2 linked regions of the Rhinolophus ferrumequinum genome follow. The protein of the gene in region 1 interacts with the protein of each later gene in a biochemical or structural test. Links are inferred from orthologs where the notes say so. Each region holds a gene or a part of one and is shown in the gene's direction. Other genes may lie near its edges.

The links. The genes of interacting proteins can lie anywhere in the genome.
Region 2: the proteins of CRY2 (region 1) and FBXL3 form a complex in vitro, tested with the Homo sapiens proteins (2 studies listed by BioGRID, with this or other methods). The link is inferred for Rhinolophus ferrumequinum from reciprocal best matches to the Homo sapiens genes CRY2 and FBXL3.

What each region holds. Positions count from the first base shown.
Region 1 is NC_046294.1:15,001,371-15,006,065, reverse strand, and holds the start of CRY2 (cryptochrome-2), read left to right. Parts: upstream 1-1,146; 5' UTR 1,147-1,188; coding exon 1,189-1,403; intron 1,404-4,695. UniProt on the Homo sapiens protein: Transcriptional repressor which forms a core component of the circadian clock.
Region 2 is NC_046287.1:27,891,138-27,895,832, reverse strand, and holds the start of FBXL3 (F-box/LRR-repeat protein 3), read left to right. Parts: upstream 1-1,915; 5' UTR 1,916-1,983; coding exon 1,984-2,018; intron 2,019-4,695. UniProt on the Homo sapiens protein: Substrate-recognition component of the SCF(FBXL3) E3 ubiquitin ligase complex involved in circadian rhythm function. Plays a key role in the maintenance of both the speed and the robustness of the circadian clock oscillation.

The sequences.
Region 1 (4,695 bases):
AACTTAGCACAACTTAGCACCAAATTGAAACAGACTGTTCTCCACTTGATAACCCCAGAGCTCCAGTATGACCAGACCATTTAGCCTAAGGTCAACACTTCATTGCAGGTGTTCATATGCTTGTCTTGCCATTCAGTCAGCCAATCAGCAAGCCCAGTGCTAGCCTCCATAGGAATAAGAGGGCTCCACCTGGCTCCCCAGGGCAGGAGTGGGGACAGTGTGCTTCATACCTCTGAATCCCACAGGGAATTCCAGTAGTGTTTGAGCACAATTGTACCATTGGGTCTCCTATACATAGAACTAGAAGAAAATAAATTCATCTGATGTCATAATTACTATCGCAACCCACATCCTCCACATTTCCAGTTCCTACTCTCAACCCTTTTACTGCTACCCATCAGACTCTGCCTCTTGCAAATGTCAAGTTGCTCAGCACAGATAGAAATATAGCTTTCCGGATAAAAGCAGATTAGAAATCACAATAATCTGGATGGAGTCCTCTTATTAGCTTTATGATATTGAGCAAGTCCCTCAACCTGCAGCAGCCTCAAAGTTTACTTATCTGTAAAATGAGAATAATAACAGCTCTTTCACTGGGGTTTATTGAATAAATGCAACTGGGCTGAGAGTAGTAAATGAGACAGTATGTATAAGGAGATTATCACGTTGTTTGGCATGTAAAGTGCACTCAATAAATGGTAGCTGTAGATGATGTAATAGATTGAGGTATATGGTGATGACGATGTTAATGACATGGTGACCTGGACGCCGGTTGTCCAGGTTCCGTATGTTACTGGCTGGAGTCACAGCAACCCCCGCCAGCCCAGGCAGCTTTTTCCGGTGACAGGCATTGAATAGGACGCATGTAAGGGATCCGCTGTCCTTCGAGACTGCGTCTGTGTCCAGATCTCCGCGAGAATCTCCAGCCTGCGTCATCTGCCCTGCCCGCTGGCCGCTCCCAAGCCCACCGACACATGGTGGGAACGTGAGGGGGCGGGGCCGGACTCGGCGCCGCTGGGCCAATCGCTCGGCGGGAGGCGCCCAGCCAATGGCAGAGACGCCCCAGGGCCCGAGGGGCAGGGCCACAGAGAGGAGAGGCGGTGTCATAGGTCATTGGGCGGGCTGGGGGCGGGGCCCACGGCGCTGACAGGGGCTGTACAGCAGTGGCCGGGAGCAGTCAGGGCGGTGATGGCGGCGGCTGTGGTGACCGCGGCAGCAGTGACCCCTGCGCCTGAGGCCGGCACGGATGGCGCCTCCTCAGTGCATTGGTTCCGCAAGGGGCTTCGGCTCCACGACAACCCGGCGCTGCTGGCGGCAGTGCGCGGGGCGCGCTGCGTGCGCTGTATTTACATCCTCGACCCCTGGTTCGCGGCCTCCTCCTCCGTGGGGATCAACCGATGGAGGTAAGGGGGCCCGGGGCCGGGTCGCGGGCTCGGGGTACGCAGCCTGGCCTCTGGGGCGCCTGGCGAAGAGCCTGAGTCATCCCCCACCCAAAGGAGGGAGATCCTGCTCCCCAGCTCCGACGGCCGGAAGACCCCGGCCTGAGGGAGGTGGGGCAGGAAGATGGAGCCGGGTCTCCAAAGGGGAGAAGGCAGGACCAGGGAAGCAATTAGTCATCGTACCAAAGGCTTGGATGGGCCAGGGCTCACTCTCTGACAAAGTGCTTCCGCACTGTGTGTTATCCTCCTTTGGGCCGCAGACATTCCTGTGGGACAGAGATCATGATCTCCATTGTACAGATGAGACTCTTAAGCCCTAGAGACAAAAGTTGACCTGCCCAAGGTCTTGGCAGCCAGTGAGTGACAGAACAGGGACTCCTGGTCTGGGGCTCTTAGGGGTGTGCTCAAGGACTGGAGGAAAGGAGATACTGTGATGTGAGGGTAGGGTTGGATTTCTGAGTTTATGGCACAGAGATGCTTGCGTTCTTCAAGTCAAGAGCCCGTTGCTGGGCTCCTGAAGGTCATCTCTAAGCCTCTGGTTTGTCTGAATTTGTCTTTTCACCCATCCTGGTTTCCCTACCCCAAGACTGTGCTGCCTCTGGAGGTGTCTAGAGATTCTGGCTTAACATTAGATAAGCCAAGTGCAATCTTCCCGTTGTTATTGATAAAGACCCGAAGGGCGTGTTCAGTTAGAGGTACTGTGTGTCCTGACCTAGGGAGCCGTACTTCACCCATTTTGGAGAATTCCCTCAGCAGCTGTGAGTTTGCTAGAAAAGAAAAAAAAAAAGGAACCAAACAAAGTGTCACTTCCTTGTACCTCTTCTCGTGAGAATGATTTTAAAGGTCAGTTGCGCCACTATAGATTAGATTTTTATCAACTTTTGTGGTAAGATTAGGGAGCCGCAAAGGTGTGATATCAAGGGCTCCCCTTTGGTGACTCAGGAGATGGAGTCTGCAGGATCATGGGAAAGGATAACAGATAGGTAGTTGATGTATTTTCTCTGTAACCAGTGTTCAAAACCAAGGAGTTGTGAGACATTGTGTACCCATCTCTTTAAAATGCCCCTCAGCTGTCATTTGGTTTGCTTGCATTGTTCTGGGGGATGTTTGCTTGTGGCCTTGTCAACCCATGGGCAGGGTTATTCCCAGGAGACAGTGGCTCACAGCACAACTCTCTTTTCTCTCCAGAGTGTGTGCCCTTCCAGGAGAGTGAGTGCTTCTCACAGTGGGTCTATGAAATGTCCCCTCCTGCCCCATTTATATAGAGGGAATGACTAAAGATAGTCCTGTGGAGAGCCCGCCCACACAGTTTTCAGGCTGCTCTATTGCTCTGCCTCTGCTCCACTTTCCATAGACAGGAGCTTGGCTTTGACAAACACCCTCAAATGACCGTCCCTAGCATGGTCATTAAAGCGAGCCTCAGACGTTGCCCCTTTCCTTATGGCAGTGTGCCAATCAGAGCAGAGTCAATAGAATAGGGCTACCTGCTTGTACCTAATGTCACGAAGGAGTTTCTTCTTTTACTGGGTGATGCGGGACATTGCGTAGCACTGCCTACGCCTTGTGATAGTGGAGATTAAACATCAGCAACAAAAACCGTTGTTGATTAAACTCAGATTTGCTAGGAACAAGGTGTTTATGGATTTTTATGGGTCACCCTTTTGTGATTGTGCCTTCCAGCGAGTGAAAGAGAAAAGGAACGTGGCAGCTGCTGCCTACATCAAACCCTGAAATCAGAGGCTGTGTAGGCATGCAGATATTAACTGAGCAATTATTTAATGAGTGCCTCGTATCTAACCAGGCACTGTTCTAGGTGCTGCTAGGAACATAGCAATGAACAAGCAGAGGTGGCGTCCAGAACTCCTGGAGCCTACATTTTAGTGGAGGAAGACAAGTAAACAACTATCATTTAGTAGAACTGAGGGTCACGAAATAAAATAGGGGGACGGACTAGAGCAGTGGTTTTCAATCTTGCAACACCTGGGAATCACTGAAGGATCTTTCAAAGATTCCTGGACTCTCTCCTCCCCCAATTCTGATTTAATTGTTCTGGCTTACGGCGTGGGCATTAGGGTTTTTAAAGCTCTCATGTGCTGGAAAGCCTGAGGAGCCAACCATTGGGGAGAAATGTTTCTGTGCATTGGCAGGAAGTCTAATTAGTTTGGGCATTTGGAAGAAACAAGTGAAATAATACAAAACAGATGGAATAGGATAACTGCTCCTGGGCCTGGAGAAAGACACACTCCTGCCACCCCCACCTTACTCCGCGCTCCCATGATCAGATCCAGGGCAGAGCTGCAGCGTGTTTTATGCATGCAGTTGAGCGTTGGGAGTGATGGAGCCAGCAGTTCTTCTGCATAACTACAATATGTGTAATCTTCCGGTGGCTGTTTCTGGATGTGGGAGTGGTCTGGGAGAATTGTGCTGCAGCATAACATCCTCGCTCTGCAAATACTTCAGCTATGGCCTCTGAGAAGCCTCCCTAGGAAGGGCGGGCCCCGGGCTGGCTGCAAGAGGTGGGGGAAGCAAAATCTGTGATCTCTATTATTCTCCTGCATTTCCTACGCTGACTCCCACACAGCATTTTTCACAGATGTATCAGATTAAAATAACCACGAATGGCACATTCTAAGAGTAAAAGAGGACAGAGAGGCAGCCATGGAATATATATATTTCTTAGCATAGGAGAAGGGCTAGCATACACCTTGCCTTGGTGGTAGTGAGAAGTTTATTAGCTAATTGGAGCTATATGAGCCTCGGGACCTTTTTTTTTTGTCAAGCACTAGTTGGCTAAGCCCTTTGCCAAAATTTTCCCCAGCTCCACCTTCCCCAAATATGCTGTATCTGGAAAGAGGTACTGCAGTGAGAAAAAAAAAAAGGGGCGTGGGTGTGTGTGTGAGCAGCTTCTAGATTTAAAAATGGGTTCTCAAAATGGGCCCTTGCAGTTTTTCATTACCTTTCTCTCCTTACTGCAATTTAGGTAGGTGTTGGCAACAATTCACCACACCCTTATTTAAATCATTTTCTCCCTGGCTCTGTGCTGCTCCTGCATCCAGGAGCTTCTGGGACAGAGAGAGTTGGTAGAAATAAAATATCAGTCCATATCACTCAGAATTAATAAATGCGGTGAACGGCCAGGATCCTTGGTGAGAACAAGTGTGTCTCTCTTCCCAGTGCTGGGAGCTAACACCGTTAGACTGTTGACGACGTGGGTGGTTCTTCCCTGGAACTCAGCAAGAAGAGAACTGAGAATCAG
Region 2 (4,695 bases), on another chromosome or scaffold:
TGCTGATCATTTATAATGTTGACCTAGCTTTAAATAAATGGGCCTGTATCTGTTTTTCTTCCTCTAGTAATTACCATTACCTGTCTAAAAACCTGCTTCATCATTCAGTCACTCAGGGACCTAAAAAAATGTTGCAGTTCAGGTACAACCACAATATGTTATTAGAGACTTTGTTCAGTTTGACTTGATGATTCAACTGTCAGGTCCTAACAGAAAACACTGGCGTTTTTCCAAGTGAGTCCAAATATAATTTTACACATGGCTTCCTAGCTCAATTTGGGGGTTTGGAGGGGTGTGACCTGGAAGAGTGCAGCATCACTCCCTTCCAGTCTCCTACACATGGGTCAAATCCTTGAAAAGCCATCTTTGGATGGAAAATTACTTTCTTTTTATTTTTGAGGCAGGCAGGAGGAGTGGTGTATGACTCAAGTTATGATTTTGCACCTAAGGACAATCTAACTTTTTAAGAAAACCCACAATCCAAAAATCCAAACGTTTAAAACAAGTTAACTAGGTATCAGGAACAAAGATACGTCGATTTACAAAAGGGTTCAGCAGAGGTTTTAAATAACTATTCCCTTACATTTTCCTTATTGTGTTTCAGAAAGCTATTTACAGACTTCAGGAGTCTATTTTATAAAGGAGGTTTTTAAAAAGCATTAACTCTGATGATAAAAATCGTTTTTAGAAAAATTGAAAAATATATTTTGAATATAAAAATCATCTATACTCCCAGCGTCAACACTGTCACCATGCTGGTATACATCCTTGCAGTTTGTAAAAACACCTTATGTAGACCGGTGTATGAAGTGTGCATAGTTTCAGAGCTTGTATTTTAACCTCTCGGGCTCCGCGGCGCAGGAGTGGCCGTCCGAGGCCGCGCCCGGCCGCGGAGGGGTGTCAGGGGCTCACAGCTCCTGTTTATCCTCCTGCCCCACGACCGGCAGCTGGGCTCCTGCAGGCTCCAGACACTCCCTCCTTTCCTCATTCTGCGCCACCTCCTTCAACTTCCTAGTTCCAACCACAGATAGTCTCTTAGACATCTCCTTAGCTCCAGCCCTCCCACTCTGGCACCAAAACCAAAAATCTCCTAAAAGCAGCAGTCACGTGGAACCTGGAGGCGGAAGCCCCCCAGCTGCGCCGGGCAGTGCGCGCTCCTGCGTGGGCGCGGCCCACTCGCGCCCGCCGCGCGTGCGCGCGCGCCACTGCGGACACGCGCCCCCTTCGGGCGGAGACGCGCCAGGGAAAGCGCGCGGCCGCGAGCCCCGGGCGCCATTTTGGAGTCGGTGTCCGGGCCGAGGTGCCGAGGGTCTCCGCGGCGGCGGGAGCTCGCTGAGTTTTTCACCGCGACGAGTGGTCTCGGGGGCAGGACGCGGACGGCGCGGGACTGGGAAGGAAGGCTTCTCTCTGGGCAGCCAGAGCCGCAAAGGTGGATCCGCATTGGTGCCCTCCGCGGGACCAGCGTCTCGGATGCGGGCGGAGCGCGGGGGGCCGCGGCGGCGGGAACCCGAAGCGCGGGGCCCGGGGGGCCTCATGTGAGAGCCGCGGAGCCAGCCGCCGCCATCCCCGGAGCCCGGGGTGGTGTGTGGGGGAAGCCGCCGCCGGCAGCAGGTAACGGCGGAGGGTTAGTGCCGGAGCCCCGCTGTGACGGCGGGACTGGGGAGGGTCGGCCGACATTGGTGGACTGCAGGGGGGGCCCGGGGGCGCGCGGTTCCGGGCGCGCGTGGGCCGCCCCTCGCGAGCGCGGGGCGGGGCGGGGCGCCGCGCTCAGACCTTGGAGCCTGCTTGGGGGCGTTTCCCCGCTCGCCCGCTTCTAAACATGTCAACAAGGCGTGGTGCGTGCGCGGCGGCGCGTGCAGCCTCCCCGCGGCCCCGCTGCGCCGCGGCTGTAGCCTGGCATTCTTCTTCTTGGCAGGGGTTGATGACAGGCACCTTTGAGCTCGCGCTGGGTCGGGGCCACGCCCGTGCCTAATCGCTGGAGAAATGAGGGGCATTAAATGTCAAAACAGACGGTCCAGGTAGGGCGCGCGAGATAAGTCAGGGAGGTGGCGCAGGGAGGAGGACATGCCCGGGGCGCGCGGCCAAGTGGAAAACTTGGTCAACTTGTGATGAGCAGCTGCTTCAGGTGGCGCTGCAGACAGGGATCAGGCAACAGCCTATCAGATGATGGGCCTGCATCTCTGAGCTAAGAAGTGAGATTACTACTGTATGTGTTATCTTGTTGCTGATGATACCCAGTGGCCCAGATATTTTAATTAGGCTTTTATTTTCTATCGTTCCTGAAATATTTATAAAAATGCCATTGACTGCCAGTTATCTACAAATGACCACTAGACAGATTTTCACCAGTGCATTTTCCCTACCTTCTAGTTCTGAGAGTTAATCTCTTTCCGTGGCTTTATTTTTGTATGCCAGCCAAAGAATGCGTGTTAATTTTGGTATTAGTCAAAGCAGAACATAAATGGAAAGGAAATACGAGGCCAAAGCAGGCTTTTGAGAGCTAAGTATAAATGGGCTTTTAAAATTACCACAAGCCCAGTGTACTAAGAGTGCCTGATACAGTGAGGGACGCACGGCTAAGTGGTCTCTTGTGCCCTTCATCTGACACAAGTGTGACTGCTCCTTTCAGAGTATGTGGAAATAATGAGTTAGTTCAGTAACTCCCTGCGCTGCTCAATGAATCTGCAGTTTTTCCTCATTAGTTTCATAGTGGTTATATCAGTCCCTCACCAAATGCTCTGCTGGCCCAAGTTGCATCAATTATTTAGAGCCCGGAAAAGTTGCATTTTGAAATTGAATTGCTGGAGCCCTGAGGAGGCCTGCCTGGTTTTGATGCTCTACAAAGTCACTTTGACATTGATTGTCCAGCTTCCTTTTCTTTCAGTCCTGTTAAAATATAATAGATGTGTCATTTTGATGAAAAGGCGGAGATAATCCATTGATGTAAATTCTTGGCAGACTGGTGGGTGCTTTGAATTGTTTAACTTTCTCTACAGAAGGACTTCATGTATAAATAGATTTAATAAAATACTTTTGAAAGCCATGTAAATTTTTGCATGGATAAATGAGATCATCTTGGAAAAATTGACATTTATAATTTTTATTAGATGCCCACTGGGTGATCTCTTTTTTCATGCACAAATGAGGATAATACAGAGACCATTTTTATTGGTATTTGGGCTTAGAGTTTTTTCTATTGCTTAATGGACTAGAATCCTGAAAAATTATAATCATATCATATACATGGTAATTTACACACTTTGTTCTGCTATTTATAAAGTAGTAAGTGCCTAAAATACACTTTGGTGATCACATAATCTTATATCTAGATGAAGTGTTGCATACTTCTTTTTAATATGTCAACTTTTTTCTCCCCTCAACTTGGAAAGGTACTGAAATATACTTTATTTAAAACAGGGTGGTAATAGATAAAAGAAAGTATCTATTAGGATCAGCAAAGTATTAGTAAAGATAATTGTGTAAATAAGACTGTCATTTTATTTTCATTTATATGTCCATATATTCTAAAGTAAGATGAATCATCTCATCTTTAAGTTGGATAGTTCTGGGTTTAGACGACTTCTCCAGAAAGAGGAGATCAGCATTCTGTAATGAGGAGTAGAAGTTATAAAGATGGCTTCATTCTTTTTTCCAATCTCTGTTATCTCAAAATTCTGAAGAGGTTTAGATATTCAGAAGAGAAATTATAAGCCCGAGGTAGCAAACTCTTTGTTCTTTGACCCAAATTTTGTACGCTAAAATTAAAGTAAGCCTTCAGAATAAGTGAAAGAAAAACAGGTCATAATGACAGTGTTATTTCAACCTCTAGTTGGACATTATTACTGTGAGAGGTATTTTTAAATTAAGATTACATTGTAGATTATACTACTCGTTTCTAAACGTATATTTAGAAAAGCGTTCTTAGATTCACACGTAAATTTTAGTCTTCCGTGAAACTACCCTCTTGCCACCACCTCTCATTGTTTTCTCCCTTTCTTTCCCCCTGCTATTTCAATAGGATATACACCATTTACTTCACTTAAGTAGAGCAATGAGGAAAAGGCAGTTTATTGCACATGTGCTAAGACCTCCTGAGCTGATTTTAATGGCATGAAGAGCAGGGGTCTCTGCCATTGTTTCCCTCCAGCCCCCAATCCTTTTTCACAAATTTTGCTAGCTACTAGGTACAGAATCTGCAAAGACTTATTCATACATACGCACATCCATTGTCCCACACTGGAATCAGAAATTCTTGTCTGCTGATGTGCCAGAAGAAGAGAGTTGGAGCCACAAGCTATCCTTTTCAAAAGCTACTATGACTCCAAATCCAAACCACCACCTTGCTAGAACTGCTCTCTAGAGACAAAAGTATTGCAGGCTCTAAACTAAATAGAGGTACTACTTAGTGGTCCCCACTTAGTTTAGAGCCTGCGATACTTATTTTTCTAAGTAACAAGCCAAAACAATTTTATCTGATTTACCTTTTTACCTGATTACAACGTTAATTCATTGACATTAAAAGAAATACATAAAATATAGAGAGTCATATTGGCAAAAAAAAAAATTTACCTGTAATCGCACTATTAATATAGTATGATCCAATTAACTGTTATAGTTACTATAATTAATGTGGTGAATTTACTTCCAATGTGTATTTCTCATATGTAAACTTCTTCTATTCTTGCCCTCTCTCAC